4 linked regions of the Lepisosteus oculatus genome follow. The main gene of each other region encodes a partner of the protein of the gene in region 2 in a complex. Links are inferred from orthologs where the notes say so. Each region holds a gene or a part of one and is shown on either strand. Other genes may lie near its edges.

What was found. The genes of interacting proteins can lie anywhere in the genome.
Region 1: the proteins of pcna (region 2) and fen1 are in contact, whole or in part, in a crystal structure (PDB 1UL1), measured with the Homo sapiens proteins. The link is inferred for Lepisosteus oculatus from reciprocal best matches to the Homo sapiens genes PCNA and FEN1. Residues at the interface, in NP_002583.1 of Homo sapiens: Cys27, Asp29, Met40, His44, Val45, Ser46, Leu47, Ala67, Met68, Gly69, Asn95, Ala96, Asp97, Leu118, Met119, Asp120, Leu121, Asp122, Val123, Glu124, Gln125, Leu126, Gly127, Ile128, Pro129, Glu130, Gln131, Glu132, Glu201, Pro202; in NP_004102.1 of Homo sapiens: Arg19, Phe27, Gly28, Arg29, Lys30, Lys80, Val167, Lys168, Ala169, Gly170, Pro188, His208, Ser210, Arg211, Leu296, Lys297, Trp298, Ser299, Glu300, Arg332, Ser335, Thr336, Gln337, Gly338, Arg339, Leu340, Asp341, Phe343, Phe344, Lys345.
Region 3: the proteins of pcna (region 2) and pold3 are in contact, whole or in part, in a crystal structure (PDB 1U76), measured with the Homo sapiens proteins. The link is inferred for Lepisosteus oculatus from reciprocal best matches to the Homo sapiens genes PCNA and POLD3. Residues at the interface, in NP_002583.1 of Homo sapiens: Met40, His44, Val45, Ser46, Leu47, Glu124, Gln125, Leu126, Gly127, Ile128, Pro129, Thr206, Ala208, Asp232, Val233, Pro234, Tyr250, Ala252, Pro253, Lys254, Ile255, Glu256, Asp257; in NP_006582.1 of Homo sapiens: Ala453, Asn454, Arg455, Gln456, Val457, Ser458, Ile459, Thr460, Phe462, Phe463, Gln464, Arg465.
Region 4: the proteins of pcna (region 2) and fbxo18 are in contact, whole or in part, in a crystal structure (PDB 8F5Q), measured with the Homo sapiens proteins. The link is inferred for Lepisosteus oculatus from reciprocal best matches to the Homo sapiens genes PCNA and FBH1. Residues at the interface, in NP_002583.1 of Homo sapiens: Met40, Ser43, His44, Val45, Ser46, Leu47, Leu126, Gly127, Ile128, Pro129, Ala208, Asp232, Val233, Pro234, Tyr250, Leu251, Ala252, Pro253, Lys254, Ile255; in NP_835363.1 of Homo sapiens: Ser56, Gln57, Arg58, Cys59, Ile60, Pro61, Phe63, Phe64.

Annotation. Positions count from the first base shown.
Region 1 is NC_090699.1:14,454,838-14,462,080, forward strand, and holds the start of fen1 (flap endonuclease 1), read right to left. Parts: upstream 3,003-7,243; 5' UTR 2,847-3,002; intron 1,823-2,846; 5' UTR 1,797-1,822; coding exon 1,715-1,796; intron 586-1,714; coding exon 483-585; intron 394-482; coding exon 291-393; intron 1-290. Other genes in the region: tm9sf1 (transmembrane 9 superfamily member 1), read left to right, coding at 6,485-6,688. UniProt on the Homo sapiens protein: Structure-specific nuclease with 5'-flap endonuclease and 5'-3' exonuclease activities involved in DNA replication and repair.
Region 2 is NC_090697.1:65,499,228-65,507,197, forward strand, and holds the start of pcna (proliferating cell nuclear antigen), read left to right. Parts: upstream 1-4,969; 5' UTR 4,970-5,163; coding exon 5,164-5,384; intron 5,385-7,420; coding exon 7,421-7,518; intron 7,519-7,779; coding exon 7,780-7,847; intron 7,848-7,970. Other genes in the region: putative aminopeptidase W07G4.4, read left to right, coding at 1-49, 167-348, 2,300-2,434. UniProt on the Homo sapiens protein: Auxiliary protein of DNA polymerase delta and epsilon, is involved in the control of eukaryotic DNA replication by increasing the polymerase's processibility during elongation of the leading strand.
Region 3 is NC_090700.1:1,978,519-1,985,536, forward strand, and holds the start of pold3 (DNA polymerase delta subunit 3), read right to left. Parts: upstream 3,003-7,018; 5' UTR 2,866-3,002; coding exon 2,809-2,865; intron 1,984-2,808; coding exon 1,928-1,983; intron 1,505-1,927; coding exon 1,402-1,504; intron 945-1,401; coding exon 905-944; intron 645-904; coding exon 512-644; intron 1-511. Other genes in the region: defbl1 (beta-defensin-like 1), read right to left, coding at 4,395-4,419, 4,877-4,997, 5,402-5,456. UniProt on the Homo sapiens protein: Accessory component of both the DNA polymerase delta complex and the DNA polymerase zeta complex.
Region 4 is NC_090702.1:43,577,038-43,584,507, reverse strand, and holds the start of fbxo18 (F-box DNA helicase 1), read left to right. Parts: upstream 1-4,468; 5' UTR 4,469-4,577; intron 4,578-6,566; 5' UTR 6,567-6,609; coding exon 6,610-6,638; intron 6,639-7,062; coding exon 7,063-7,223; intron 7,224-7,470. Other genes in the region: ankrd16 (ankyrin repeat domain-containing protein 16), read right to left, coding at 61-103, 1,216-1,436, 3,486-3,823. UniProt on the Homo sapiens protein: 3'-5' DNA helicase and substrate-recognition component of the SCF(FBH1) E3 ubiquitin ligase complex that plays a key role in response to stalled/damaged replication forks.

The sequences.
Region 1 (7,243 bases), on a different chromosome or scaffold from region 2:
CGCGACCCCAGTGCCCCCTGACCCCTCTGTTCTGTGACCCCTCTGCCCCTCACCACGACTCCAGTGCCCCTGACCCCACTGCGACCCCTCTGTCCTGCAGGTCAAGGGATCATCAGACAGACATGCTTGTGGAGCAGAGTCCAGAGTTGTCCATACCCACTCAGGACACAGACTGAATCTGAATCTCAGAACAGGGACAATCCCGAGCTACACCAGCGGGTCGGGGGAGTGAGTCCTCTGTCTCATTCTTATTGCGAGAGCAAAACAGACAGGCTGCGACGACCTCTGACCTCTCCAGATTTCAGCTCTGGTGGTTTGCCATCAAACACATAGACAGGCTTGATCCCATTTTCCAACATCCGGATAGTTCTGTAGAACATTCCCATCAGGTGACTGACGGGAACAGAGAGAGGGGTGAATACAGACACACTGACTGGACACTCCAGTACATTAACAGGTAGGCAGTGAGACAGGTTTTTTACCTGGTGGTCTCTCCTTCCTCGTTGTGCAGCACGTTGCCGTCCAGTCTCACAGCTATCAGGAACTGGTAGATACTCATGGATGCGTCGATGGCGATCTTACGGCCTATCGGGTTGGATCGTGAAACAGTGATGCACAGAGACACCGACATGAAAGATAATTCCAATTCAATTCAAGCTTCTTTTTTGGCATGACAAATGAGTAAGATGAGTGTTACCAAAGCAAATCAAATATAATTAACATAAAACAATCTACCGACATTTACAATAAAGACACATCATAAGATATTTTCATATAAACATATGGAGCATTACTGGGAGACAGACTCACTGTTCCTCAGGCTGTGACATGAGATCACATACTGGGCTGCCAGTTCAACTGAGTTCCCTCCTCCCTCTCCCAGTAGGATTGGGACCTGTTGTGATTCTGGCAGGTGTGGGAACTCTGGGATTAGATTTCTGAATTTTGGGAAGAATGTTTCTCTAATCCCAGAGTATCTGTCACAGTGCAGTAGGAAGTGCACCTCTGTCTCTATTTCTCCCCGCTGGCAGTGGGAGCACAGCCTGTCCTCTCTGGGCAGCCAGGTCTGCCTGTGTCCAGGCTGTGGTCACTGAGCCTGTCCTCTCTGGTCAGCCAGGTCTGTCCTCTCTGGGCAGCCAGGTCTGCCTGTGTCCAGGCTGTGGTCACTGAGGCTGTCCTCTCTGAACAGACAGGTCTGTCCTCTCTGGGCAGCAAGGTCTGCCTGTGTCCAGGCTGTGGTCACTGAGGCTGTCCTCTCTGGACAGTCAGGTCTGTCTGTATCCAGGCTGTGGTCACTGAGCCTGTCCTCTCTGGACAGCCAGGTCTGTCTGTGTCCAGGCTGTGGTCACTGAGGCTGTCCTCTGAACAGTCAGGTCTGTCCTCTCTGGACAGTCAGGTCTGTCTGTGTCCAGGCTGTGGTCACTGAGGCTGTCCTCTCTGGACAGTCAGGTCTGCCTGTGTCGCCCAGTTTCTGTGGCCAGGCTGTGCTCACTGAGCCTGTACTTCATCAGGGTCTGGTTCGTTTTGCTGTTATTTATCTTGGTTAGATATTCGGCTAGTGCTTAAGGTTCTCACAACATGCTCACAACGTTAGACAACAAGCCCCCCCTCCCCTCACGCCACTCGGGGCACTTCAGCTCCCGGGGGTATTTCACAGCGGGGGGCACAGCGCACCCCTCTCACCACAGCCCGGGAGACGGCAGGCGGTCAGTACCGAAGTAGTTCTTCATGTCGTTCTCCTTGATGGCGCCGGGCGCCTGGTCCGCGATCAGCTTGGCCAGCCCGTGGATTCCCATGGCGACGGCCGCGGCTCCCTGGGACCCTGGGGGGCGAAACCAACGAGCCCGTCAGCCCCGTCGCGCGCCGCACGCCACAGCCCGGCGGCCCGCGGATCTCACTGGGGCCCGTCGCCAGGCTGCGCCCTGCGTCGTCGCAGACTGCAGCTGCGTGGGTGGGCCAGACGAACCCCTCGCTGGTGTTTCCCCCCCACAATCGATTACTGCAGCGCCCCCGCTCGCTGGGGTACCCCGAGGCTGCCCTGAACAAACTTCATCAGCCAGGCTCCTGCCCCGGTCTAGTGCAAGTGATCACATCACTCCTGTCCTGGAGTCCCTGCACTGGCTTCCAGTCAAATTCCGTGTGGACTTTAAAATCCTCATGCTCACCTCTAAGGCTCTGCATGGCTTGGCACGTCAGTACCTTTTTTTTTTTTTTTTTTTATAATGATAATGTTTCTTTATTAGCCCTATACAATTTCTTGCATTAGGAATGCATCTTTTCGCATACCCCAGCTTTTCTCCATGGAGACACAGACACAGAGACAGGGAGAGAAACCTGTCTGAGCTATTATCGCCCTACTCCCCACCTCGCGACCTTCGCTCTTCTAATTCTGGGCTCCTGTCTGTGCCCCGAGCCCGTCCACACGGGGTGACAGACACTTCTCCTCCTGCGCCCTTAAGCTCTGGAACTGTCTCCGAAAGGATAGCAAAGTCACCTTTCCCCGACCGTTTTCAAATCCGAGACTCCAAACCATCATCTTCTACAATTAAAAGCCTTTTAGTCAACTGTGTTCAGTGATAGCATCAGCGTCCGTCCCGTGCGGGTCTCGACGGGGGGTCTTGAACCCGCGTTTCGCGGCCACGGCTCCCACCAGCCGGTCCTGCACACAAATCATCACCCCTGAACCCGAAAACACAGCCGCACGCTGGACAGTGGGGCCAGCTCCGTGCTGGACGAGACGAGCGCGGACAAAAGGGCTTCACCCCCCGGGTTCAGCGCTGCGCCTCTTGCAGCTACTCCTGGGACACAAGGCGGGACCGCTTCTGGATAAACAGCATCATCCTTACCAAACCACTATGTCGTTTCCGAAATTCCTTCCACAGCCCTTTCGGCAAACAGCGGTGCCCGAGTGCTGCTCTCACGCCCGGCTGCAGCTACCGCGCCAATACCATGCGTCGCTTTCGCGCGAAACTCGGCGACCAAGCATCTCTCATCGACCGTCGAGCGAGTCCACGTTCGAGTCAGGGGGATCGATCAGTTGCATTTGATTGGTGTTGCCTGACGAGGAGTGATCCAGGAAAGGGCGTCGATCGACGCAACATTGATGCCATTTTTAATGTCATTGACGTGTGGCGCTAAGGCTCGATACGCGATATGTTATGCCTGCAAAGGCTTTCGCTCCAACCGTGAGCAGCCTTGAAGCCTTTGAGGCGCCATTTTGGTAATGGGAGAGAATGTTACCGAAAGGACAAGTATCTTTTTTTCTTTTTTTTTAATCTAAAAATTGAAAAAATATCACAATCAAAATCTGAATTTCGTCTTAACCCTCACCAGCTTTGATTCCTATAAAAGATTATGATCATAGCTTTCAAAACAAGCTGTATTTTCAAGTTTCTAAATAGATAGTATTTTTCAGTGTCACTGAAGGAACAAATGTACCAGAAATCGCCTGAGGTGATGCGAGCGTCTTCTCTATTAATCTGTTGCGGTTTGATAGCTCACTAACTTATTTTCTAAATGAAAACTTTCCTTTACAGCATATCTCCAGACTATTTCCAAATGTAAAAACACGAAAGCTGTGCGTACCTTATCTTTAATTACCTCATTTAATCTTTTTTTGGGGGTAAAATACAACTGTATTAAGTACTCCTGATAAAGTTGTATGTACTTTTGCAATGAGTGTATGTAGTTCTGTTGCTACAATAAAAAAAAGTTTCCTTTACCAATATGGCCACCACACCTACACGCCCCTTTGGCGTCGTCACACACACACACCTATCTCCTCCGTGGTGACGTCCTCGGGGCAGGCCCCGCCCCACCCGGAACAGCCCGGCTGGAGGTGTTTGTTTGGAAGTTGACGTGGATTAGGTGTCTGCTCTGCGCCTGCCGCGGAACCCAGCTCGGGTTGAGACCAGCCGGCGACATCCGAGATCCCGCGGGGCCCTGGCCTTGGTGGAAGACGGAGAAGAAGAAACAGGTCGCAGCACCCCCCCACACACACCACACACACACACCGAGGACTGCGAGCGGCGTGTCGCCGGAGTCGGAGCCCGCTTCTCCGGCAGCTGAAACGGGCAGCCCCGGGGAACGGACGGGGACGAGGAAACGGGCCGGGGTACGAGCCTAACATTTCGCTGCGATTTTAGACGTACAGGAGCAGCGCCTGGCAATCTCTCTCTCTCTCTCTCGGTCGGGACAGGCGGAGGGAGAGAGTGTTTGCGCCTGGCCGGGCTGGACGCAGAGTGACTTGTCCTTCTCCAGAGGCGCCGGTTCTCACCTGCCCGCGGGGCTGCGCGGTCTCTGCCTCTGTCGATACGGCGGGGCGTCTTTCCAAACCCGAGCTCTTCTCCGCTGTCGGTGCCGGCTCCTTCGGGAACCCTCCCCGTGTTTGCAAATGTGAGCGGGTGAAATTGTGGATCGGTGCATTTCATGTTCCGTCTACAGAAGGACTTTTGTTCTTCGTCTTTAAAAAAAAAAATTGAATGTAGTTTTCCTTTATGAGTGATTAAGCCGCGTGTACAACTTCTCGTGACCTGTCTGTGTATCCAAGTTGGATATTTGTTGGTAAGGGACTGTGTGGAGTCTGTATGGTCTTCCTGAGTCCACACAGGGTAATTGGTGTCTCTCAATCGTCTCTCCCAAATGTGTTTGGGGTCCGGTCAGTGTGTCTGCAGCAGGGCTGTCCAGTCCTGGTCCTGGAGGGGTCAGTCAGTGTGTCTGCAGCAGGGCTGTCCAGTCCTGGTCCTGGAGGGGTCAGTCAGTGTGTCTGAAGCAGGGCTGTCCAGTCCTGGTCCTGGAGGGGTCAGTCAGTGTGTCTGCAGCAGGGCTGTCCAGTCCTGGTCCTGGAGGGGTCAGTCAGTGTGTCTGCAGCAGGGCTGTCCAGTCCTGGTCCTGGAGGGGTCAGTCAGTGTGTCTGCAGCAGGGCTGTCCAGTCCTGGTCCTGGAGGGGTCAGTCAGTGTGTCTGCAGCAGGGCTGTCCAGTCCTGGTCCTGGAGGGGTCAGTCAGTGTGTCTGCAGCGGGGCTGTCCAGTCCTGGTCCTGGAGGGGTCAGTCAGTGTGTCTGCAGCGGGGCTGTCCAGTCCTGGTCCTGGAGGGGTCAGTCAGTGTGTCTGCAGCGGGGCTGTCCAGTCCTGGTCCTGGAGGGGTCAGTCAGTGTGTCTGCAGCGGGGCTGTCCAGTCCTGGTCCTGGAGGGGTCAGTCAGTGTGTCTGAACCCAGGCTGTCCAGTCCTGGTCCTGGAGGGGTCAGTCAGCGTGTCTGCAGCGGGGCTGTCCAGTCCTGGTCCTGGAGGGGTCAGTCAGTGTGTCTGCAGCAGGGCTGTCCAGTCCTGGTCCTGGAGGGGTCAGTCAGTGTGTCTGCAGCGGGGCTGTCCAGTCCTGGTCCTGGAGGGGTCAGTCAGTGTGTCTGCAGCAACATGGTTTGTGTCTTGTAGAACTCGATATACAGGTTCCTCTAAATACCTTCTTAACGGACAGACAGTGTGCCTTCAGACGTAACACCACAGCCAGTGTGCGCATTGAGTCTGTGTCTCTCTTTAATTCAGGGAGTTATTGGCATGGTTACAGTGTTCCCAAAGCAGTAACAATTAGTACAAATACCTACAACAGTAACATATTATTAGTAGGAACAAGTAATAGGTTTATTCCATGCTGAAAAAAAGAAGAAAGAGAACACAACGTTTCGGCCGTGGAGCCTTCTTCAGCTCACACCTGAAGAAGGCTCCACGGCCGAAACGTTGTGTTCTCTTTCTTCTTTTTTTTAGCATGGAATAAACCTGTTACTTGTTCCTTTGCAGCCTATGCATGCTGACGCAGCTACCCATCTGAAATATTATTAGTAGGCTGACTCTCTGTTCCTCAGGCTGTGACAGGAGATCACGTGCTGGGCAGCAGCTCTGTTAAGTTTCTTCTCCCAGTAGGATTGAAGGCTGTTCTGGTTCTGGCAGGTGTGGGAATTCTGGGATTAGATGTGTTATTTTAGGGAGGAATATTTGGCTTATCTCACAGTGTTTCTCACAGTGCAGCAGAAAGGGGATCTCTGGCTCTGCTTTAACTTGATGGCAGTGAGAGCATAGCCTGTCCTCTCTGGACAGCAATGTCTGTCTGTGTCCAGGCTGTGGTCCCTTAGCCTGTCCTTTCTGGACAGCGATGTCTGTCTGTGTCCAGGCTGTGGTCACTGAGCCTGTCCTCTCTGGACAGTCAGGTCTGTCTGTGTCCAGGCTGTGGTCACTGAGCCTGTCCTCTCTGGACAGTCAGGTCTGTCTGTGTCCAGGCTGTGGTCACTGAGCCTGTCCTCTCTGGATAGCAATGTCTGTCTGTGTCCAGGCTGTGGTCACTGAGCCTGTCCTCTCTGGATAGCAATGTCTGTCTGTGTCCAGGCTGTGGTCACTGAGCCTGTGCGCTCTGCCTGTGTCTGGTTTCTGTGTCCAGGCAGTGGTCACTGACGATGTCTATAGTCACCCTTCTCTTCCTCTCACAGAGGCTGTCATGATGATAAGACTGGGGTTGCGATTGGCTGGCGGGGGCCTGTGGGCTTGTCTGCTGAGCTGCTGGCTCCTCCCCTCAGGGGGCGGGGCAGCCACCTACAAGCAGGGCGACCCCGTGACCCTGTATGTGAACAAGGTTGGCCCCTACCACAACCCCCAGGAGACCTACCATTACTACACCCTGCCAGTGTGCAGGCCCAAGGAGGTGAGTGAACTGTGAGTAAGGTGTACCGCAGGGGTTCCCAGCCCTGGTCCTGGTGACGCCCACACCTGCTGGTCTTTCTTCTGATCCTTCAGTGAACTAGTGAATCCAAGTTTCGGCGGCCAGTGAGTTGGTGGGCTTTGAGCTCTTAAGTCCCCCAAGACTGAAAACCAGTAAAGAGCTTCAGTTGATCCTATGTCTAGGCCAATTAAGAGCCCGATTGTGCAAAGTGAGAGCTCGTCTAGAACAGAATCTGGCAGGTGTGTGGAGCACCAGTGCACCTGGTGTAAAGGAAGAGCAGAGTGTGAGCAATATGTGCCAAAGGAAGGAAGCGCAACGTTTCGGCTGTGGAGCCTTCTCCACAGCTCTTCAGAAACTGAAATGTTGTGTTTCTTTTCTTCTCTTTTCAGCCTGGAATAAACCTTTACTTGTTCCTTTGCAGCCTGCGCATGCTGACGCAGCTCCCTAACTACTAGACATTTCATTACCAGCAGCTACTGCTGCAGGCTGTATCGTTGTGCTTTTGAGAAATCAACTTTGATTGATTGGTTACCGATG
Region 2 (7,970 bases):
GACAACGGAGAGGCCCGCAAGGCAGGCAACGCCCACCAGTGGCAGCAGGGTGAGAGGCGCCGGCGCTGTGAGCACGTCTGTGCTTGATCTTGTAGCCGTGTCGCGCGTCGCAGACGACCCGCGTTTCCTCTCCCCGTGCTCAATCCTTGTCCTTTCTCTGTGCCAGCGGGGGAGGTGCTGGGCGACGTGTTCGAGGTGTCCATGATCCGCCGCGATGATTTTGAGTTCCACCGCGGGAAGTCGGAGTACGAGGATCTCCTGCAGAGCAACAACCTGCCTTCCACCCTCACCCCCCGTGGGCACCAGACCCCCGCGGCCTTCCTCATCATGGCATCAGGGCTGGACAAGGTACACAACACTGCACAGAACACACGACCACGCACACTACACACCAGAGCCCCGCGGCCTTCCTCATCATGGCATCAGGGCTGGACAAGGTACACAACACTGCACAGAACACACGACCACGCACACTACACACCAGAGCCCCGCGGCCTTCCTCATCATGGCATCAGGGCTGGACAAGGTACACAACACTGCACACTACACACCAGACCCCCGCGGCCTTCCTCATCATGGCATCAGGGCTGGACAAGGTACACAACACTGCACAGAACACACGACCACGCACACTACACACCAGACCCCCGCGGCCTTCCTCATCATGGCATCAGGGCTGGACAAGGTACACAACACTGCACACTACACACCAGAGCCCCGCGGCCTTCCTCATCATGGCATCAGGGCTGGACAAGGTACACAACACTGCACAGAACACACGACCACGCACACTACACACCAGAGCCCCGCGGCCTTCCTCATCATGGCATCAGGGCTGGACAAGGTACACAACACTGCACAGAACACACGACCACGCACACTACACACCAGAGCCCCGCGGCCTTCCTCATCATGGCATCAGGGCTGGACAAGGTACACAACACTGCACAGAACACACGACCACGCACACTACACACCAGAGCCCCGCGGCCTTCCTCATCATGGCATCAGGGCTGGACAAGGTACACAACACTGCACACTACACACCAGACCCCCGCGGCCTTCCTCATCATGGCATCAGGGCTGGACAAGGTACACAACACTGCACAGAACACACGACCACGCACACTACACACCAGACCCCCGCGGCCTTCCTCATCATGGCTTCAGGGCTGGACAGGGTGCACAACACTGCACAGAACACACAACCACGCACACTACACACCAGACCCCCGCGGCCTTCCTCATCATGGCATCAGGGCTGGACAAGGTACACAACACTGCACAGAACACACAACCACGCACACTACACACCAGAGCCCCGCGGCCTTCCTCATCATGGCATCAGGGCTGGACAAGGTACACAACACTGCACAGAACACACAACCATGCACACTACACACCAGACCCCCGCGGCCTTCCTCATCATGGCATCAGGGCTGGACAAGGTACACAACACTGCACAGAACACACGACCACGCACACTACACACCAGAGCCCCGCGGCCTTCCTCATCATGGCATCAGGGCTGGACAAGGTACACAACACTGCACAGAACACACGACCACGCACACTACACACCAGACCCCCGCGGCCTTCCTCATCGTGGCATCAGGACTGGACAAGTTGCAGAACACACAACCACGCACACTACACACCAGACCCCCGCGGCCTTCCTCATCATGGCATCAGGGCTGGACAAGGTACACAAAACTGCACAGAACACACAACCACGCACACTACACACCAGACCCCCGCGGCCTTCCTCATCGTGGCATCAGGACTGGACAAGTTGCAGAACACACAACCACACACACTACACACCAGACCCCCGCGGCCTTCCTCATCATGGCATCAGGGCTGTACAAGGTACACAACGCACAACCACACACACTACACACCAGAGCCCTGCAGCCTTCCTCATCATGGCATCAAGACACTGGGACACTGAGCAAACAACACTGTACTATTCACACCAGACTCCCCTGCCCTCCACATCACAGTGTGTGGGCTGGACATCGAGCACACAACAATCCACACATTAAACAACTGTACACACACTACACACCAGACCCCCCTGCCCTCCACATCGCAGTGTCTAGGCTGGACATCGAGCACACAACTGTACACACTACACACCAGAACCCCTTGTCCTCCACATCGCAGTGTCTGGGCTGTTGCATTGAGCTTTTGTAGATAAGACTCATAGAGAAAACGCTCTGGATGTAGGATCCTGGGATCTGGACTTGGGGAAACTCTGCTCTGTACTGACATGTTCACTCCTCCCTCTCACCCGTAGCACGGCACGGACTCCGAACAGCCTCTGCGTTACTCCCACATCGACATCGCCGGCTCCTCCGGCCCTTTCCCAGGAATCCCGACCGGAGCGCCGATCCTGGCCATGGCCACACGCTACGTCCTGCCCTGCCTCTGAGTGTCTGTCGGAGCAGAGTGAATGACAAGACGTTTTTGCTGTTTGTACACGTAAACGGTTCGCAGAGCGTGTGTGTGTGTGTCCGGAGAAAAACTGGATCCTCAACACGATGCAATAAAAAGGCCTAAATGATGAAAGTGTTTTCTTGATTTATGTTGCGTGTTGCTGGTTTATCATCTAGCATTATTTTTCCAGTGTAAGCACTTGTCTAATGACTTCATTTACTGCAATTTACCGAGTTTACAAAAACAGAACAGCACTACACGTACAAGAGTAACACCGTGTAAATGCACCTAAAAAGGTCCGACTTGCCTTGAGTGTACACTTGACAGTGTACCTTAGTTCTGCAGGAACACAACTAACAGTTGCAATCGTGTGAGAGGGGTTGCAGTACTCCTACAGTCCTTTCTTATGCCATCAGTAAAATGTTTGAACTAGCTGCTGTTTTCCCTCTCCCGAACAATGCAACTCATTGGTGTAGTTTTCACACCAGTCTTCATCACTTTCCTTAACCAGTTGCGCCTGCTGTCGCGACGACCTCGTCTTCTCCGTCCACAGGTTTGAATTTCTCCCATCGGCGGCACAGTAAGTGGTATTAGTAGCTGAAGTTTCTTCTCTTCCAGTTGCTGCCCTCATCGGTGAGTCCCAGAAATCGGGGCTTGTTCCTTTAGGCCAGGCTTTTCTTAACCGCAAACTTCACACCTAGATGTGGAGATCCTTAACAACTGCTGTCCTGTTTCTGATCTCCTTTTCCTACCCAAGAGTCCTGAAAGGGAGGTGTCGGCTCAATTGCAATCTTCCGTGGCTGCCAGTGAGATCCTCAAACCTTTTCATCCAGGTTAAAGTAAATCGGTTGTTAAAGTAGTTAATTCATCATGGCTTGAACTTGGGGTCACTCCATAATCTTCTCCTGGTTTAAAGTGCTGCGTTTTGATACTGTCAATCGCTGCACCCCATGGGACAGCATGGGCAAACTCCATCAGACATTAAACCTTTCTTGTATCCACATTGTACTGGAAAGGACTACAACTAAGATCAATTTAATGGAAAAGACCAAGATGTTGCTCAGTGTAACTGTGACATGACTGAAATTATGTTCAATTTAATTGACAAGACTGAGATTATGCTCAATTTAACTGTGACAGATGGAGATTTATGCTGTTTGATTGAGAAGACTGAGATTATGCTCATAGGCTCCCAACCTGAATTTTGTAGACCTGCTGACTTCGGCGGTGCTGTGGAAATTAAACCTCAGAGGGATGATGGTAACCACCAAGTTCCTTCTGCCCCTGTGGTATCTTTTACTACTCATCAGCCCAGGTTTGGAGCATCACGAGGGCATCTTCCTCCAGCAGAGCTGGGTGCCTGCAAAGCCCAGCGTCTTCTGAACAGTCGCTGTTGCACTGATGGTCTATCTCACGAGCTGCACAGCTGTGATACATCTAGCCAGGCTCAGAGGGGGGTATAGGTATCTGTACCTTCAGTGTAATCATAAAAGACTTCAAGAAAAATGAGGCATATGTCCAGCTCAGAAAATAATTAGGCTAATTGTTTGACTGCTCAGGTTGGAATACAATCTAGATGCCAGCACCCTCCAGAAACAGAGTTTGAGACTGTAGACCTTGCTGATCCTGGAATATTAATACATCTTTTAGTTCATTACTATTAGACTGCTGTGCTGATCCTCTCTCCCTTTCTCGTCTGTTTGTGTCTCACTTATTAACACTCATTAAAAGTGGGTGTAAGGACAGGAATCCGAATGAAAAGAGTAGTCGCTGGTTTCAGGAAGACAATTTCTTTTGATATTTTTGTCCAGTTGTCAGAGGTTTGATGAAAAGCGCTCATTTAATTGATTAAAAAATATATTTTTTAGTTTTACCTATCACGGAATACTGTACCTTTGCTCTGCATCCCTGATTTTACATGAGAAAAATACTAATCAATCACCTTAAAAATCCTTTACTTTCAGTTCTTACACATTTTCTTTTCCAGCACTTTATGCCTATTCTAAATGTGGTCCAATGTGTCAACAGGCCATGTTTTTACCGCCTGACTCAACAAACTCCCTTGTGCGTTTCAGAACAAAAAAACATAAAAACAAATTAGCGCCCTTTTAAACTACACGGCACTTCCTCCAGGGGTCGAGTCGGATGGGAACCCAGTCTGCGAGGAGGCTCGCTGAAGTGAAGGGTAAACGCGGAAAAGCCAGAGCCAAAATGGCGGATACGGGTGGGCGGGCTGTCCCCGACCGTCTCCCCAGCGGTGATTGGCTGATCTCGGTGTCATTCCCAGTGATTTGCCGCGCTCGATTCTGGGTGCTTCGCCTCGTCGGCACGACCGACTGAGGACAACATCGCACTTCATAATGTGCTTGTTTGACCCTGGGTATATAGTTGACTACCTCTGATGAAAATCGCAGTGTTTTAGTCGTCTCTATGCTGCGCGCAAACCAAGGCACGCGCGTCTTAGCCAATCATCGCCTGGGTGACGGTCGGGGTTTCCCGGATGTGGGCGGAGGGGTTGTAGTGACGTCAGAGGAACAAGAATAAAACTCGGCGATTCCCGCCAGCTCGTCTTTGTATTTCAGTCGCCGGAGTAGCAAGCATAGTTAGTGCTGCTGCGGTTATTTAGCCAGGAGTCAATAACTTTGAGCCTGACGCTTGAGGAACCTGCGTTTCCACCCATTTCTCTTTTTGCACGCCCACGCACACACAGGTCGTTCCTGCAACATGTTCGAGGCTCGGCTGGTCCAGGGCTCGATCCTGAAGAAGGTGCTGGAGGCCCTGAAGGACCTGATCACCGAGGCGTGCTGGGACATCAGCTCGTCCGGCATCTCGCTGCAGAGCATGGACTCCTCGCACGTCTCGCTGGTGCAGCTGACGCTGCGTAGCGACGGCTTCGACTCCTACCGCTGCGATCGCAACCTGGCCATGGGGGTGAACCTGAGCAGGTGAGCTGAGCTGGGCCGAGCCGGTCCCGGGAGGAGGTCTCGTCCGCGGGCAGCCCTCCCGCGCGCTGCTGTCCGACACCCGGGTTCGGATCTTGCGTATCTGATGCATTATTGTATTTTCCAAAGCGCCTGTTAACACGGGTTATAAAGTGCGCTGTCGATCGGCTCTTCACATTGAGTTTTAGAGCGGTGAAGTCGTTGTAAATAATTACTGCGCGCCGTGGCGCAGAGGGAACTAGTTTTCGCGGGTGCTGGTCAGTAAAGTAGTAGTAGCCCATTCCCCCGTGACCCGGGTGTCTTGACGTTTCCCCGGACGGTGCTCTGTGCTTGGAGTAGTAGCGCCGCGCCGGGCATGTCTGTACATGAGCGGATCTCCGGACTGGCGCTCCGTCACCTGACTGAACCGTTCTGGGAATTTGAAATGACTAAAATAACTTATATAATATACAGCGCTATTGATCTGTTGCGTTTGTTTTTTTTTTTCGAAATAGCAATCCAGGATGCGTTAAAGAATAATAAACGGTGCATCGCTGTTATAAGTTCATAAATGTTATCCCTGAGGTCTGTATTTCAGTTCCGGCTTTTTTAACTTGAGCACTCAGCCTGTAAATCACAGGGCGTGTAGATGCCCTGTTTTGCCCCTTTTAAGTTTGTGTCAAAGTGAACTCGGGCGCCTGGATGGTTTTTTTTTGTTGCTGCTCTGGCGCCACGAGTTGGGAAAACGGAATAGGAAATCAAAAGGCGGCATGGCTGCCCCTGCCCCGTGACGTCACTTCGGCGCCAAATTCGCAAACGGGGGTCTTGTTGGCGGGAAAGTACAATGTGCTCTGCGTGCAGGGAGAGACGCAGCCCTGTAGGTCTGAGCATGATCAGCGTCTCACTTGTTCGAGTGAGTGTCAGTTTTTAACATTTAGATTCAGAAGATCGATGCCATAAAATACTATATGCGATTCTTCAGAGATTTGTGTGGCATACAGGCAGCCCGATTTGCGCACAGAAACTTCCAGAAAACCGTACAAACAAACATTTCAAACGAATAGAACATTTCATAAGCAGACAGAGCCCGTAAATTTACTCCCCCTGCAATGGCGATGGACGCGTTGTAGATGATACATGAATAATGCACCTTCGCAGAACAGAGGCAGGTGTCCGACAGTTCGCTGTGCAGGGGCAGATCACCCTGAGGGAGACGGCCAGGAGCAGCAGTTCAGTGTCCTGTCTCGGGATGAGAGAGATGTGGGCTCAGGTGGCATGTGGGGTGTTGATTTGGGACATCTCTCCGATGACCTGCTGCTAGTCACTGTAGGTGAGGATTTTTTTGGGCTGACTAGATTTTAAAATCCCCCTGATGGTCAATAAATAGATGAACGGCGTCCCCAGACGTTGAAGAAGTTCAGGCGGGGAGCTGCGTCGGCATGGCTGGGCTGCAAAGCCGCAAGTCAAGGTTAGATAGATACTTTATTGATCCCGTGAGGGAAATTGCAGTGCAACAGCAGCTTAACACACACAACACAGCCACAGTGTAACGAATTATATAATAATAGTACAATACATACAATACAATACAAGAGTTACTCACAGTCCGGACACACAAAGAACAAACTAGAACAGAACAGTACACAGAAAAATCGTATCACACATATGAATATAAATATAGATATACATATAAATGTATTGCACAGGTCCCTGGCATATATTGCACAAAAAATGGTTGTAAACGGGGGAAAAGAAAGAGAACAGATGTAGCAGTAGATGCGTTTAGTCCAGAAACTTCCTGTTGATTCCTGTGCTGAAAAGGAAAAGAGACGAGGGTCTGGCTGTGGAGCCTCATTCACCCTTCAGAAGGCTCCCGAGCCGAACTTGTCTCTTCCAGCGCGGAATAAACCCTTACCTCTTGCTTCGCTCCCGAACGTTTGCGAAGGGGCCCGTCTCTCCGGGATGTGGGGGTGGCGGAGAGTGGCAGCTTTGACCCGGCAGGTCTGGGGGGGCCGGACAGTTGCGGGGCCACTCAGGGACGCTCTCTCCTGTCGCTGCAGCATGTCGAAGATCCTGAAGTGCGCAGGGAACGAGGACATCATCACGCTGCGCGCGGAGGACAACGCCGACACGCTGGCCCTGGTGTTCGAGACGCTCAGTGAGTGGGTTGTGAGCTCGGGGTTGTGGAACTCCCTTACACAAAGGGGGGGTGGGAGTGTGGAACAGGCGATGGTTATCGGACAGGATCAGGTAGCCGCTGCTAACTAGTCCGAGCGGCCTCTTCCTGTTTTCGGCTTGTATCACCGGGCGGGGTTGGTGATGGGCTGTGCTCGGTGCTGTGATTTTGCTCCAGAGGACAGTGGAGCTCACCCTGGGGCGCCAGGAGCTTGACTCTCCCTCTCGTCTCCTCCCCCCCCAGATCAGGAGAAGGTGTCGGACTACGAGATGAAGCTGATGGACCTCGATGTGGAGCAGCTGGGGATCCCAGTAAGTGCCCCTCTCCTGAAGAGGGTCCCGGGCTCGTCGGTGGTCCTGTAGTCCAGGTCGGCGCCGAGGGAGCAGGTTTTTAACGATCCAGTGATTAGAACGCTAGACTGATCGTTTAAGTAC
Region 3 (7,018 bases), on a different chromosome or scaffold from region 2:
AAGCACAACAGCAGAGCCAAACCTGCCATCGGCACACGTAATCTTCCAGCTGTGAATCCAGAGCCCTCAACGGCACTCCACACTGCACTATACTTTTTCTGATCATCACTACAGTATATAACTTGTTTTGTGCCCTTCAGTAAGATAAAGTCAAACTAGAATCATAAAGAACATAAGAAATGTTACAAACGAGAGAAGCATTAGGTATTCAGAAATTAACTGTTGACATGCTTCTTAAAAGAACATGATTGGGTTATTTTCCCCCGTAACCCTATGGTTAAAGATGCGTCTCCTCTTCTTGGTTTTAAATGCATTTCCACATAGTCTACACTCGGAGCCCTCTGGTTTGCTCTTCACTGTCCATTCTGAAGAAATCCACTGGCTTGACCATGTAGGTCATGTAGCAGGTCCCCCCGCAATCTTCTCTGTCGAAGACTAAAACCAAAACTTCAGCTCCTTCAGTCTGTCAGTGTAGGATGATCACGACTCTAATTCTTTATTCAGGACTTACTTGCTGCAATTCTTTAAATTTTCTTTTACAGCATCGTAATCTGTGTTAAACAGAGGCCCACTGTCCTTCAGCACCGCCTTCTGAATGCTGTACACATGCACACTGGCAATCACTACCATCTTGGACTTGACAGCTGTAAAGAGTCAATTAAAAAAAGGACATTTGTAAGACTCCAGGGAAGAAAAGCTCAGGCAAAACCAAAACGCATTCCTGTCATTTGTACTGAAAGAGATTTTAACCTGAAACATCAGTTGCTTTTGAATAAAATCTTAAGAGCGGGGAACTCAGATTTCTTTGTAGGCCCCACAGATTTGACCCGGTCTAGGTTGTAACAAACATTAAGAGTCAGAACTGGAACCAGGTTAAATAAAACCAAATGTTTCTCCAACTTGCCTTCGAGCTGATCTTCTCTCACTACTGCCACCTTGTGACTCTGCAAAGAAACAGTTTTTAGTCCACAATTTTCAGAGACTGATAGGTATTCTGAAGGACAAAGATAAAAAAAAAAAGATTCCTCTCAGATCAATTAGTGCTGAATTATACCACCGAACCTGACCAAGACTCCTCTCTTCGCGACTATGTGCTCTGACCCTGTGGTCCGGAGAACAGGAAGCACCTGAGCCACGCTGTCAAAGCCCATCCCACTGCTTCTTCCCAATAATGGCTGCGTGAGATGCTAGGATCAATTAGCCACTAAGAGCCTCCTCTTATTTGCAAACTTTCTTATTAAACACGTGTAGGACCAGGCTCGTGTTTCCAAAGTCAGTACGGCGAATGAGGCTGTGTCACGGAAACCAAAGGCGTTCGAGGCGCTGTAGCCCTGCGGCAGCCTGTACAGATCATCTCCTCGGTTGTGTTTCTTCCTCAAATCCATGCCTTGATCTGCTCACCGTGCTGCCATTCTCCGTCAGTTTACCAGACACCAGGTAAGTGGCGTGAAGCTGAGACCCGGAGCTCTCCTTTCTCTTTTGGTCTAAGTAGTGGTAAAGCATTCTAAAATGAAGAACATTGAATTAGTACACAAATACAATAGCTGCATATTACTGGGATTTCTATGAGAATAAGTTACATAAAAACCTGGAGCACAGCAAAGGCGCTTTTATGTGAATTTGTTATCCACAGAAAACTCACTGCACAAAAGCATTACACCAGATTCCAGCCCCTAACATCTGATTTCAAACTGAAGTATAATTACATGACTTTTCTTAACCTTGTTATAAAAGCGGAGGTTGTTACCTAACGAGAAAAATGCACCCAGTCCGTTGATTATACCTGCTAAACTAACTTGCTCAGTGATGAATACACAAATTGCACTGACAATCTCCAAAATGCAAGCAGAATAAACACAATATACTAAAAATGAAAGGAGGGAAGTATTCAGATTGTGACAGTGATACAGGGTGGGATGTCACTTACTGTTTTGCCTGGTTGACATGAACTCCCAAGGTGAGAGAAAGCCATTTGTAGGTAACCTGAATGAAAAAAGCACTGTCAAGAATATTGTAACAGTACAAGGTAGCTGTCATGCATTCATTTAAGAATCACCCACTAATGAAATCTGAATGGGTGCCTCACTCAGAGCTGAGGGACTGTCTGAAATAAGCAAGAATTTAGAAAGTCTCATTAACAAGCTTAGAGTCATGAAAGGGTGGCCCAGGACGAGGTGCAGTCCAATAAACATTTCCCTCGATCATTTCTGACCAACACATAGAACAAATGGCATTCAATTAATAAAACTCTACAGAACACCCTTCAGGTATTGAAATTAGTGGACTACAGATCTCATGCTATTCTGTTGAACTCAAAATACTGCCGATGCCAGCCGTGAGGTCTGACGTATTTTCGGTACATAGGTGTACGTGACATTTGCCGCAGGTCGCTAGGCTTTCAGACAAACTCATGTCAGATGTCCTTCCCCTATCGTTAGTGTTGTTTGAAACTTCAGCTTAACCACGTGTCCGTTTTCGACAGCCAACACTGAACACACCAGCACCTAATTCTCGGAGACCGCTTCCGTCTTTGTAACACAACGCAGAAAAGCCTGCTGGCCGTTTCACGCCGTTGCCGCTGTTCGTAGATGTAGCATAACGCTTGTTTACGTGTTGTAGAAAACAGAAACGTCTCCCTCATTCATCGCCAGCGACTACCATTAACTTGAGGATGTAGGTGCTGATTTATGTCGATAGATGCGCCCGACCACCGCGAATCGTGGGCAGTTTAGCAAAATGCACGAACAGCGACCTTCAGGCTCTGAAGGGAGCGCGGAAAATGAATCCACTTAACAAACCCGTACTCACGATTTTGTTTTGATCATGGATAAATTCATCAATGTTGTCTAAGTAGAGGTCATCCATAGCGCCCACTCCGTCGTCTGTCCGGGTCGTATTCGCACCACCCCTACTCTGCCGAGCCGAGCTCCCTGTTTCAGGCGGGAAAGACTCTCAAGCTCTGTTTTTCCTCATCGCGTCCCCATGCGAGACTGGAGTTCAAAGGTGAAGAGGTCGTTCCCTTAGAAACGGTAAACAACTTTCTATACGGGGGCCCGCCTGGGTCAAAATTACCTTTCCCACTTCGCCTTGCCGCGAACTCCATTTTACCGAGAATCGCAGCTTTCCATTAAATCCATTGCCTGCTTTTTCGTCTCTGTATCCCCCCTTTTATCTTCCACACGCATTTTCTTTTTCTTCTTCGTTTTAACCCGGTTTCACTGTCGAAACTTTCGCGGTTTCCTTGTACTTTTCAGTGTGACAACGACCTCTGCAAGTTCAGCTGTGCAGCTCTCACGTTGATGCCTGCAGTTCTTCACTCAAATAGTTTCTGAAACATTCTAATTACCTCTAAAACTTTTAACATATTATTTATTATGTAAAGCAGGTTTTACTAGTCCTCTTAGAGAAAAGTAATTAAGGACTGAGATGATGATTATTATTAATAATATTATTATTTTGCATATACAGTATGTAGCATAGAGTTCTATTAATATCAATACTTTTTCCATTCTAGTTTTTTTTTCAGACCAGAATGTTAAAAAATTAAGCAATTTGTTACACATTACCAAACATTTCTTCAGATTGAAGCATGAACAAAGCAGAAACTGAATGTGAACAAATGAATTACCTGAGGCCTGATGGTGGCATAACTCAATCATCAAAAAAATAACCATTCATTTACATAAATGTGAATGTATACGGAATTTTACACAATTGTGGAGAAAGAAATTTGAGAGACAAATAAAGAGAAAAAAAGGGAAATTATTTTTATTGTAGCATTAAGTATTTACTAAATGGAAAGTGGCCATTTTAATAAATGCAATCACACAAACCCAGCTCAGATGGTATTTTAAAAAACATAAATACTACAAGCTTTATGGTCTAAAGCACTGGGCCCTTTTACGAAGGTATATGTAAAGGTGTATAAGTTACCGTATGTCTCACAAAAATAAATGACTTATTCAGATCTCTGCGATTTCCTTCTTTAGAAAGAGACAAGTACATTGGAAAATGAACAAATAAATCTTGTCTGACCTATGTTAGACATTATTTTCTTTATGTTGGGATTTGTAATGAACAAACATTGCATATGTTCCAAGCAAGAAGCTTCACTGAGACAGTATATTACTACTATTGTCCTAACATGTAAACAGAGGTGCCCCCCAACTTTACAGTATTGGTTACAGGAAAAACATGGGGAAGAAAATGCTCTGGTAATGACAGGATGAGACACATGGGAAAATGGAATATCTGCACCGGATCTTTTGAAATACTGCTAGTATCGTGAATGACTTGAAAACAAAGCAGGAACACAGCCATGTTCAATATTTAAAGATTCACTTTGGAAATCCTGAGCGATAAGAAGCCAGCTGGAAAATGGAAGCTTCTGGTCCTCAGAAGATATGAGACACACAGCATCTGAATTGAAAAAAAAAATACAGCACTAAGTACAACAACTACTTTAAGCAGCACTTGATCATGGTTGGAACTGAAACGGGGGTTCTGGTCTCTTCTGACATTGTTTTGTCCATTGATTCAATACCAGAGAGGTAAGGGCTATGACAACTGGCATGTACTCTGAGAACGGGGCGCAATTAGTAACACCGTTCACAAAACTTGATATTCGAACACATTAAGACACTGGAATACTTCATTTTGCGCCATCTCTTTTTCATAAAGAGCATTTCTGAGATCTTGTGCTAAAATATACTTGATTGGAAGGAACAGAATTTAGTGGTGAGCTGCTTTTTGCTAAAGAGAGGAGAACCTGTTTTAAAAGCTATTATTTTTGGAGGGTCCAAGCACGTTGAAGCCAGGTCTGTTTATCGCATGTGGCTGTAGATGAAGAAACGCAACAAGAGCCGCCTGCACTCACACAAATCCTTTGTCACAGCCCAGAGGTCCGAAGGGTAACTCCTGAGGCAGACATGCAGTACGACAGACCCCGCTGTAATTTGAGCACCCCCAAGGAAAGCTGGATCCCACCTCAGCCCCATCTGGTGAAAAAGAGGATTAGATTGTTTTTTAAGATTCAGATTCGTTTGTCTTAAAACAAAATTTAACATAGTACTGTAACTACAGGTACAACACTCAATATATTGTCAATGTTTAGCTTGTGTTCAAACCTTTCAAAACTTCATGTGGGGGTTGAATGGGAACTTTATAAGGAAGAAATGAATAGCAGCGTATCCAGTAAGTAATCTAGTCAGATCATGGACATTTTCACGGCACTACAATATTTTTAACATTTCTGCTGAGCCTGTGATCTTTTCAAGCCATGAAAATGCTTAACATATTGTGCTGCAATCATCAATGCTACAGACAACAGTTCTCTCCTTCCGCCAAAGTTTTCTTATATAAAACCCAAATAACACAATAAGCGATAGTTAGAAGAACTCACGCGTCATGGTTAGAAATGCCAGTACCACCAAAAGGACCAAGCGCTGACAGTTCATGGCTGCCTGCTTTTGATGACACTTCAGTGCTTTGCTACAAGTCCTAAAATGTTTGAGAACTTTTATAGCTCCTTAGAAAAGTTACGTACTAGGGAAGGAGGAGTAAATCGAATTTGTTAGAAGTCAGTATTTATGTTAACCACGGGCAACCTTCAAAAGGTACAGTAGTTTAATGGAAAGAGTGATAACTGTAGGCCATTCCTAATTAGGTTTGGGGTAGGAACAAGGCCTTCATTCCTAAGCGCGTTCTTGGCAGCATGTCCTTATACAGTGTCATGGGACACTGGTTTCTAGAGAACAGAAGACTCTATGTGGAGAAAATAAGTTTCACCCGATGACAAACACATGGTACCTCTCACTGTGTCTGGTCCACAGCGCCACTCTCACACGGCTCTTTCTGTAAACGGATTAAGAGTGAGATTAGCAGACTTGAGATCATTGGCCTTAGGCCATTTGACACAGAAAATAGCCTTTACGTTTTCTGAACGTTTTCCTGATTTTCTGAATCTTTAATTTATTGATATTAATATTATAAATAAATATAATAAATATGATTAAACTATTCCCCCAGATCTACCGTGTGTCGATGCAGGCAAAACAATTGCATGGAAAGCCCGAAAGCTTAAAAAACTTTTAATTAGAAATAAACAGCTACTAATGTATACTATGTTTCTAAAACTTGAAATAAGCAGGACAAGACCAGTTACATTGACGTCACCACAACAGCGCCACCCCCTGCCGCTGTGCAGCAGTAGTGTCAAAACACTGTGTTTTGTCAATAAAGTTAATAATTTCAGAGGATCAGCTGTCAGAGTATGGCGGCATCCATAGGACGGATAAGTCTGTCCGAGCAAAAATACTGTAGGTAAGTTTCTTTTTGATTTAACTCATCTAAATTTATTCATGGTTTTTTTTGTTAAGTTGATATTTTAAATGTCTACTTGTGCTGTCGGTTTTTAAAAACAAATTTGCCTTAGATTTGTCTTGTGTAAATAATATAATTTTACTTTAGAAGACAATTTATACACACACCTCAGCGTGTGTGATGTTTATAAATATAGTTCATCATAAGTTTTATTCTGAGCCGAAGTAATAACACGGGCCTTGATATTTCACTTGTGATTAATCACTTTTTTATTGAATATAACCTACTTCTCAACGGTCAGCTGTTTTCTATGTTGTTAACTGTGTGGACGAAGAGGAGAGAAAAAAAAAACAACTTCCAGTAGGAAAATAAGTTTCTCGGGTTTCGAGGCCCGATCTGGTACAGTAACCATAAACAATCTCTACCAACTCAGGGGTTGAGACCTTGCTTTTCCCGGTCTGTCGTCAGGGTTATTAAAATTAAATACCATGTACTTTATCAAATGACAGTGCTTTGCATAAAATCACACACTGGAACTTTTTTTTTATAATGATATAAAATTCGATTCGATCTAATGTAGATGTAGTTGTGTAATGAAATTTGGAGTCTTTGTCTTATAGCCTTTTCTTTGTGTGAGTTATGGTATTATGAAAACAGCGGCGTGTTTTTGTGTTTTGACCTGCTGAAATTATGCTTT
Region 4 (7,470 bases), on a different chromosome or scaffold from region 2:
TGAAATTCATAGGCTTGTTTGTCTGTATTCAAAATGTGAGCAATCAGTTATCAAACTTACCTGTCGAGCAGTATATTAACAACCTCGTCACATCCATGCATTGCTAGAAAGAAAAAGTAGGACTTTAAAATAAATCCAGAATAATTCTGTTATTCCATTCATAATGGAATTCATAATTCCAATGCATTCTGAAAAAAAATGCTTTTGGAGGCACAAATAAGACAAACTGTGATACCTTTGCTATTTAGAACACATCAGCTTTAGGTAACACATTTAACAGATTTAATTTACAGTACTTTCTTATATCTACTGATATCCACCTGACCTCAGCTTTTAACTTTCTGACCTCTGTTAGCTCTGCTATCCAACTCTGCCTTTGTTTCCAAAGCAGATGTCATAAATAGGGTTTGTTTAACAGATGTACAATTTTCAAAACCAAAGCTCAGAGATTATTGAACTATAATTTTCAAGACATTCATATCAATTTATTCCCCTTCCTAGATGCTATATTGCATACAGCAGCTTAATTTCGGCAACAGTGAAATCCTCTGATTCATGAACATTTCACACACTGACGGTTTCTGAATTTGTGCCTGCCTTTCAGTACTTACAGGGACTTATATGCATTGATTACCCCGAGCAGCGTGACATCATCTGTATTTTTCCAGGCTTAGCTGTTTGTTTTGGCAGTTCTCACTTTTCTGATTTTTTTTCCAAGCTGCTGTTTGCCTCCAGCAATAGAATTAGATTTTAGTATACAGATGATCAATATTTTGTGTTTATGTAATATATACCACTTATCTTTAGACAACTACCATTAGGACAGTGATAAGATCACCCCCAGCTGATCTTATCACTCTCATTCCCCTTTTCTCCCCCTTTAACAGTCTTAATCTTTGATCTATTTTTAATTTACTTTGAATAATGAATAATTCTATTACACTCTTTAAAAAGAACATAGATACTTAGCGCAGGATGAAATAATTCATTTGGAATACATTACACCAAGAGCTGTAGACTTAACACATTAGGATAACTACTTATTGGAGAACAACAAGATCCATAGATAGGGCATTTTGACTAAAATTATCCCCATCTAATAATACACATAATTCTTTATTGTCAATCTTTTAGGTACTGCATGAAACCGTCTTTGTACTCATGCCTATGAAGAAGATAAATTTGAGAAGACAGATCTGTTCATTCCTGATTTACCTGCAGTGTGCAGTGGAGTTCTGAGAGTCTTGCTCTCCGTCTTCCACACTCCTGAGCAGGTGTCCAGCAGGTACTGTATGACCCAGGGATCTCCTTCTCGGCATGCAATGTGGAAAGAGTTCCAACCATCTTTGTTCTTCAGCGCTGGCTTTGCTCCATTTTCAATCAATTCTTTGATAACATCAAGGTTTCTCCTTGTACAGGCCATCATGAGAGGCGTCCTGCAAGGAGAGAAAAACTAACGATGTGTTAAATTCTTAAAAGGGACTATAATTTGGATTACAAACATATTAACATACTGTAGAATGACCCACATTTACACAGGTTTTAAGATTTTTGGTGGGTAAATAATTCTTGATCTGATATTTTTTTAAGGCAAAACACATTTCAATCTGGTTTCTACGTGATCCAACAAGTAAATGTGCCCATTTGGAGCACAGCTTTGTGAATGGGATTCGCAATGGTGTTGCACAATTCGGCACTGCTGGATTCGCATGACCTTGAGGCAAGAATATCATCTACATGATGCTACACAAGGGTGACCTACTGCATGTGGCTCACCAACTGAGTGTGAAGTGCTACTCGTGAGAACTGCATCACTGACTTGTCTTATTGGTGCTGTGGGCTGAAATAATAAAAAAGAACCACTTGACAAGAATGTGTTTTTGAGTACACATTTGCAGCAGTTTCTGTGAATAGAAAAGGCCTGTACTAATCAGCCACATTGACTAGACTTGGCATTGCCAAATGGACACCACAGACAATAAGTAACTTCTACTTTAGTTTAGAATAAAAAAAAAACAAAGAATCATCAGGTGCTCTTAGAACTTGAAATTCTATTTATTACCATGAACGCAAGCCTATATGCTAATTCTTGCATACTAATAACTCATGTTATTAATGCCAAGGGGCAGATGCTAACAGCGTGGATCAGTTCTTACAGCCTGAGCAAATTACAAATCCAGGGCTCGGGTCTTTATGTTAAATGTTAAGGGGGCATTGTGCACACATTGCTGGATATTCAGAATGAGAGATTAAGAGTCGAGCAGACTCCAGGTTTTCTTCATGTACCAGATTTGTTCAGTTTGGTTTCTGGAAGGTAAATACAGAAGTGTCGTACTCTTGTTATTTTTCTAAACCGGAACAGCAAGGGGTTTGCGGTTATTCTTCAGGAAGCCCCCTGGTGGACAACTATGGACTAATTTCTCATTTCATCATGTTTTAAACATATAACAAGACCGTATAAGTTTGTTTAACAAAATGTAGGCTACTTTTAACAGCCATTTAGCTATAACATTTTTTAAAAGTTAGAACTGTTTTAGTTAGGAACAAGTAAAGATTAAATCTCTGATGAGCCCTCTTCGGGTGTGACTAAACCTGTTTTGTACATATATATAGTCTCTCTGTAAGTGGTGTGTAACGCCCTCGCCTGGTGGTGAGGAGGAAGCGCCCCTAGGCGCTCGTAGTACCGCTGGGCATGCTGGGAGTGGTAGCCGGGGAGAGTCTGAGGGTCAGCACGATGACCAGCGGCTGACCCTACCTGTGTAAATAATGTCCTAGTAGTTCTAGTGCCCTGTGTAGTCTTATAAAAGTATAGCGTGTTGTTAAGTAATTACCACCCTAAAGTTGTGTACGTGTTCCGTCAGTCTCGTCATGTGCGTGTATATCCTATGTTTTATTTTGAGTGGTTGTTAATGAATAAAGTTAGTGCTTGGTTTGTGAACCGCGTCTCCACTGGTCCTTTTTGCTGAAAAGAACCTGTAAACGCTACAGGTGTTTGTCTACAATATACATCACTAGTTAAAAAAGTCTCCCAAATTACGTCATTCACTATTCATCTTCACTACTTACTCTGACATGATGAATTATTGTCAGGCTGTATGCAGAGAGTGATCCTACTTGCACCTTCAATCAAAATTCATGTAAGTGCTAAAAAATCATCAAGGTTTATTTATCAAATGCACATCAATACAGCATGTAGCAGTAGTTACTGGCAATGAAATGTCTTTTCTATGAGCTCACCGGGGGAGATAAAAATCACAAAAATAAGATTACATAATAATAGATAATAATGCAATAGAATAAAATAAACTCAGACAAAACGCAATATAAATAGAGCTGCTATGTGTCCAGAGTGTATGCAGTCTACTGTATTATGTCCAAGTACTGCAGTATGCCGAACACGATGAAAATGAGCTGCAGGTTGGCATTTCCAACAATAACACAAACTGTGGTTGTACGACCTGATTCATCATTAATCAAAGTCTTACCAGTCTGCCTTCTTTAAACGGTCTATATTCGCCCCTTTCGCAATGAGATACACCACGCATTCCCTGTGACTCATTGACGCCGCTTCGTGCAGAGCCGTCTTATAATCGCTGTTATGAAGCTCTATGTCCAAACCGGTGTCTTCCATTAAAAACTTTAAGACTTCCAGGTGACCGTGTCTAGCAGCATAATGTAGCAACGTGTCTCCAGATTTTCCGAAATGTTTCCTTTTGATCAAATTCCGAATGTTTTCCTTTTCACTTAACACCTTTCTGATTAGAGACAATTGTCCCTCTTGCGTTAACTTGACCAGGTATTTGAGTGTATCTTCCTCCCCCATATTGTAATAAAAGTCAATCAACTAGTTTATTGGCAAGGTGCATCTATTGTTAAAATACAAATTTGTGATTATACGAACTTTAACATCTATTTTTCCCATTGTGATAATGTAACTCACTGGAAAAAATAAAATTGCACATGGGACATTTCCGCTTTTGTAAATTCCAGTTTGTTAGTTCTTGATTGCTGCACGGCGTGTATGCTAGTATGTCACCCAGAAAAGGTAAGTTAAAAATGCTTATTTCATCTTTTCATTGCCTATCGTAATACGACTATTTTAGATACATTGCAGTTCAGATGCTGGCTAGTTAAGTTACAAGCCGGGTCAACAAAAAATATCCCTGCGTTATACACTGACAGTTTTACTATACGAAATAGCACTTCGAGCAGAAAAGCGTCTTCACCACAATGCAATTACTAACAGCTATAGATCCAAAAATGAATATCGCATTTGGATGTATCTTCCAGTTTTCCAACAAAACGTATTTTTTCTCCCAAGCTAAACCGTTTGATCGGCGCAGCAAAAGCCATGCCGTAAGTACGACATTACTACGTCAAGGAAGGCGGGTAAAACAAGGAAAACGTCACCTATCATAGGCTCAACCTGCATGACGAAAGGCGTTCCCATTGGTCAGTCTGGGTGACCCGCAGTTGGAAGTGTGGTAAACGTCATATTGAAAGTGGAAGGGAAACGTCTTTATTGTCAAGACTGTAATTGGTATTATTTATTCACAGCAGACCATCAAAGTTTACAGGTGAGGAAACAAAAAATATTCTCTAACCTTGTTTCGTTCTATGTTGATTTTTAATTGTTAAAAGGGTTATTTATTTTGGATTTTGGCATCCTTAAAATATTGTCATCTCTGGACTTGCTGGAATTGCTGCTTATCAGACTCCAATGAAAATGTTTATTAGTTCTAGTTTGATTCGGAGTGAACGCCTAGCTGACAGTCACGTTGTTGTGTATTGGCCTATTGAAAGTATAAGGCTTGAAAATAATAATGTAACAAGAACTAGGCTGCGATCAAGTTGGCTGATGTTTTCCTTGGCAGGAAAACAAAACTTCAATGAAAATGTCACATTAATGTGTGAACTGCATTTAGGCCTAAACAGTGATTAAGCGCAGACATGTCCACTGAGATGAAAAATAGTATTTGTAACCTCTCCGTTACAACTGGGGAGAGCGTGTGCATCCTACAATTAAATGCATACTCCTTGTATGTAATTAAGTTGGTTGTACCAAGGTTACAAAAACAAATACAAAGTTTCGGGATTTATTTTTGAAAAAATAAAATATTTTCCATCAGGTGACACGGTGTCGCAGTGGTTAGCAGTACTGTTTCTTAGCGCTGGGCTCCACTCCTGCTCTGCTGTCCGTGTGTAGTAACTATCTTCTCCCGGTGGTCATGTGGGTTTCCTCCAGGTGCCTCAGTCTCCCCGCCAGTCCAGAGACATACTGGTAGGTTAACTGGCTTCTGGGAGAACTGGCCCTGGTGTGAGTGTCTGTGTGCCCTGTGATGGACTGGTGTCCTGTCCAGGGCGTACCCTGCCCCTTCACCCGTTGCTTGATGGGATAGGCTCCAGCTCTGCTGTGACCCGGAATGGGAAGAAGCAGTTAGAAAATGAATGCATTTTTTTTTGTAAGGTGTGTTTTCAAAGTTCACAGTGATTTTTTTTTTCCCGGTCTCCATAGCAATGAACAAAAAACACTTAGACACTGGTTTCTATTCTTTTAAAAAGCAGGTACAGCACCTTTTCCACATTCAGTTTGCGCAATACTGGCAGGTCAACCTAAAGTGTGCTGGCCCTGTCTGTCACAGATGTAGTGCCAGTGTCTTTGGGCAGGCCTGTGTTACACACTGTTAACTGATTTGCTTGTGACTGGGAGTGGCATGGCACCTTTTTGTGGCAGGTCTGCTTGCTGCCTTCTGGTGAATTTGGGTGTAGACTGAGGTACTTTTAACAATTTTTTAAATGTATTACAGTATAACATTAGTACAGCCATCACCTGAACGTGAAGCAATTCCAGTGCCACACTGCACTCAGATTTACTGTTTGCATGCAAAGCCATTCCACAGCTCTTTTGTGCCATAAACACAAACGCATAACGCATGCTGACGCAGCTACCCACCTAAGGTACTTTTAGGTCACACTTATTTGCATTCATTGCCAAAGATTATTTTTTATTCACCCAAGCACCTAGCTACTGTGACACAAGGTTCAGTGGCTTATGCTGTCCTGCGGAAATTTTCGTTTAACTCCCCATGTGAGCTCCCAGTCTCTGTGTGATTTTTACTTGTGTTGTTATTCTGTTTTGAAAAGTTAAAAAAAAAAGTTCAAACACAATTATGCAAAGCCGAAGCCTTTAGACATTTCGGTTTTGGTTATGCATTAAGACTTAAGGGGCAAGCTCTGTGTTTATGGCACAAAAGAGCTGTGGAAGGGCTTTGCATGCAAACAGTAAATCTGAGTGCAGTGTGGCACTGGAATTGCTTCACCTTCAGGTGATGGCTGTACTAATGTTATACTGTAATACGTTAAAAGAATTGTTAAAAAAATGTAGCATGGTATAGCTATTTTGAGATTTGTGAATTCTGTTGTTGCAAACTTTTTAATATCCCCTCTGTTTTAGACATGGCTTTGCATACTATTTAAACATGCCAGTTATTTTGCACGCTAGTTAAACAGGGCTGTGTGATCAATCAGTGCAGGCACTGCACTATGTCACTCTTGGTTTGCTCCAGGGTCACCCATGTGTTCCGCGCTGGTGTTTTGGACGTCACCACCATGAAGCACCATGGAAACGGCAATCAGAGGTAACTACGGTTTTTTCCCCCCTTTTGTTTTTGTAATTGTAGTGGTATATAAAGCTGTGGCATCTAACTTACTGTTATGTTATTGAGGTTAACGATTCCATAAGCCTTCTGGGTATTATTAAAATAAGCTGTATGTAAAATATTTGGGAATGTTACCTTTGCCTGTTTAAACATATTAATTTAACCATTAATGTAAGTGATCGAAAGCTTAGATGGAATGAACATCACTAGTGCGGGATTTAGACATCTTGCGTTTTTCCTATGTTTAGACTGCCTAAGATTCTTATTTTTGTTTAATCCCTCCTCACTTTTCCAAACAGGCATTACAAAGAAGGGAATATGATATTGTCTTGTAGGGGTTCAATATGTGGTTTTCCAGTACAGTTTGACCCATTATAACAGTCGCAATACCTGGTCTGAGCAGTTTGTTTTGCTCTGAGCTAGGGAAGGCCAAAAGAAGGCACTTGAGTGCTTATGACTGTGCAGTCCTTGAGCGTAGCCTGCAGGGGAGTCTGTCCCTTACCAGGCCCTTCAGCACACCTCATACCAGCAAGGCTCTCCACAGGGGACTTTACCCAAGGAAAGGTACTGTGGTGTTACTTTATTAGCTGATTACATTTTTCACAAGATAGTTCTGGCATTCCTTCTTTAAGGAGTTGACTGTAAGATTAAATATTTTCACTATGGTAGAAACTCAGTGGATTATATGTGTATACTAGCGTATATATAAATGGACTGTAGGTTATATATATTTATCTTTGTATATTATGTAGATGTATGAGTGCAAGGCTGAAGAGATAGACAATAGTTAAAAAAAAGTAAAATGTTGAAG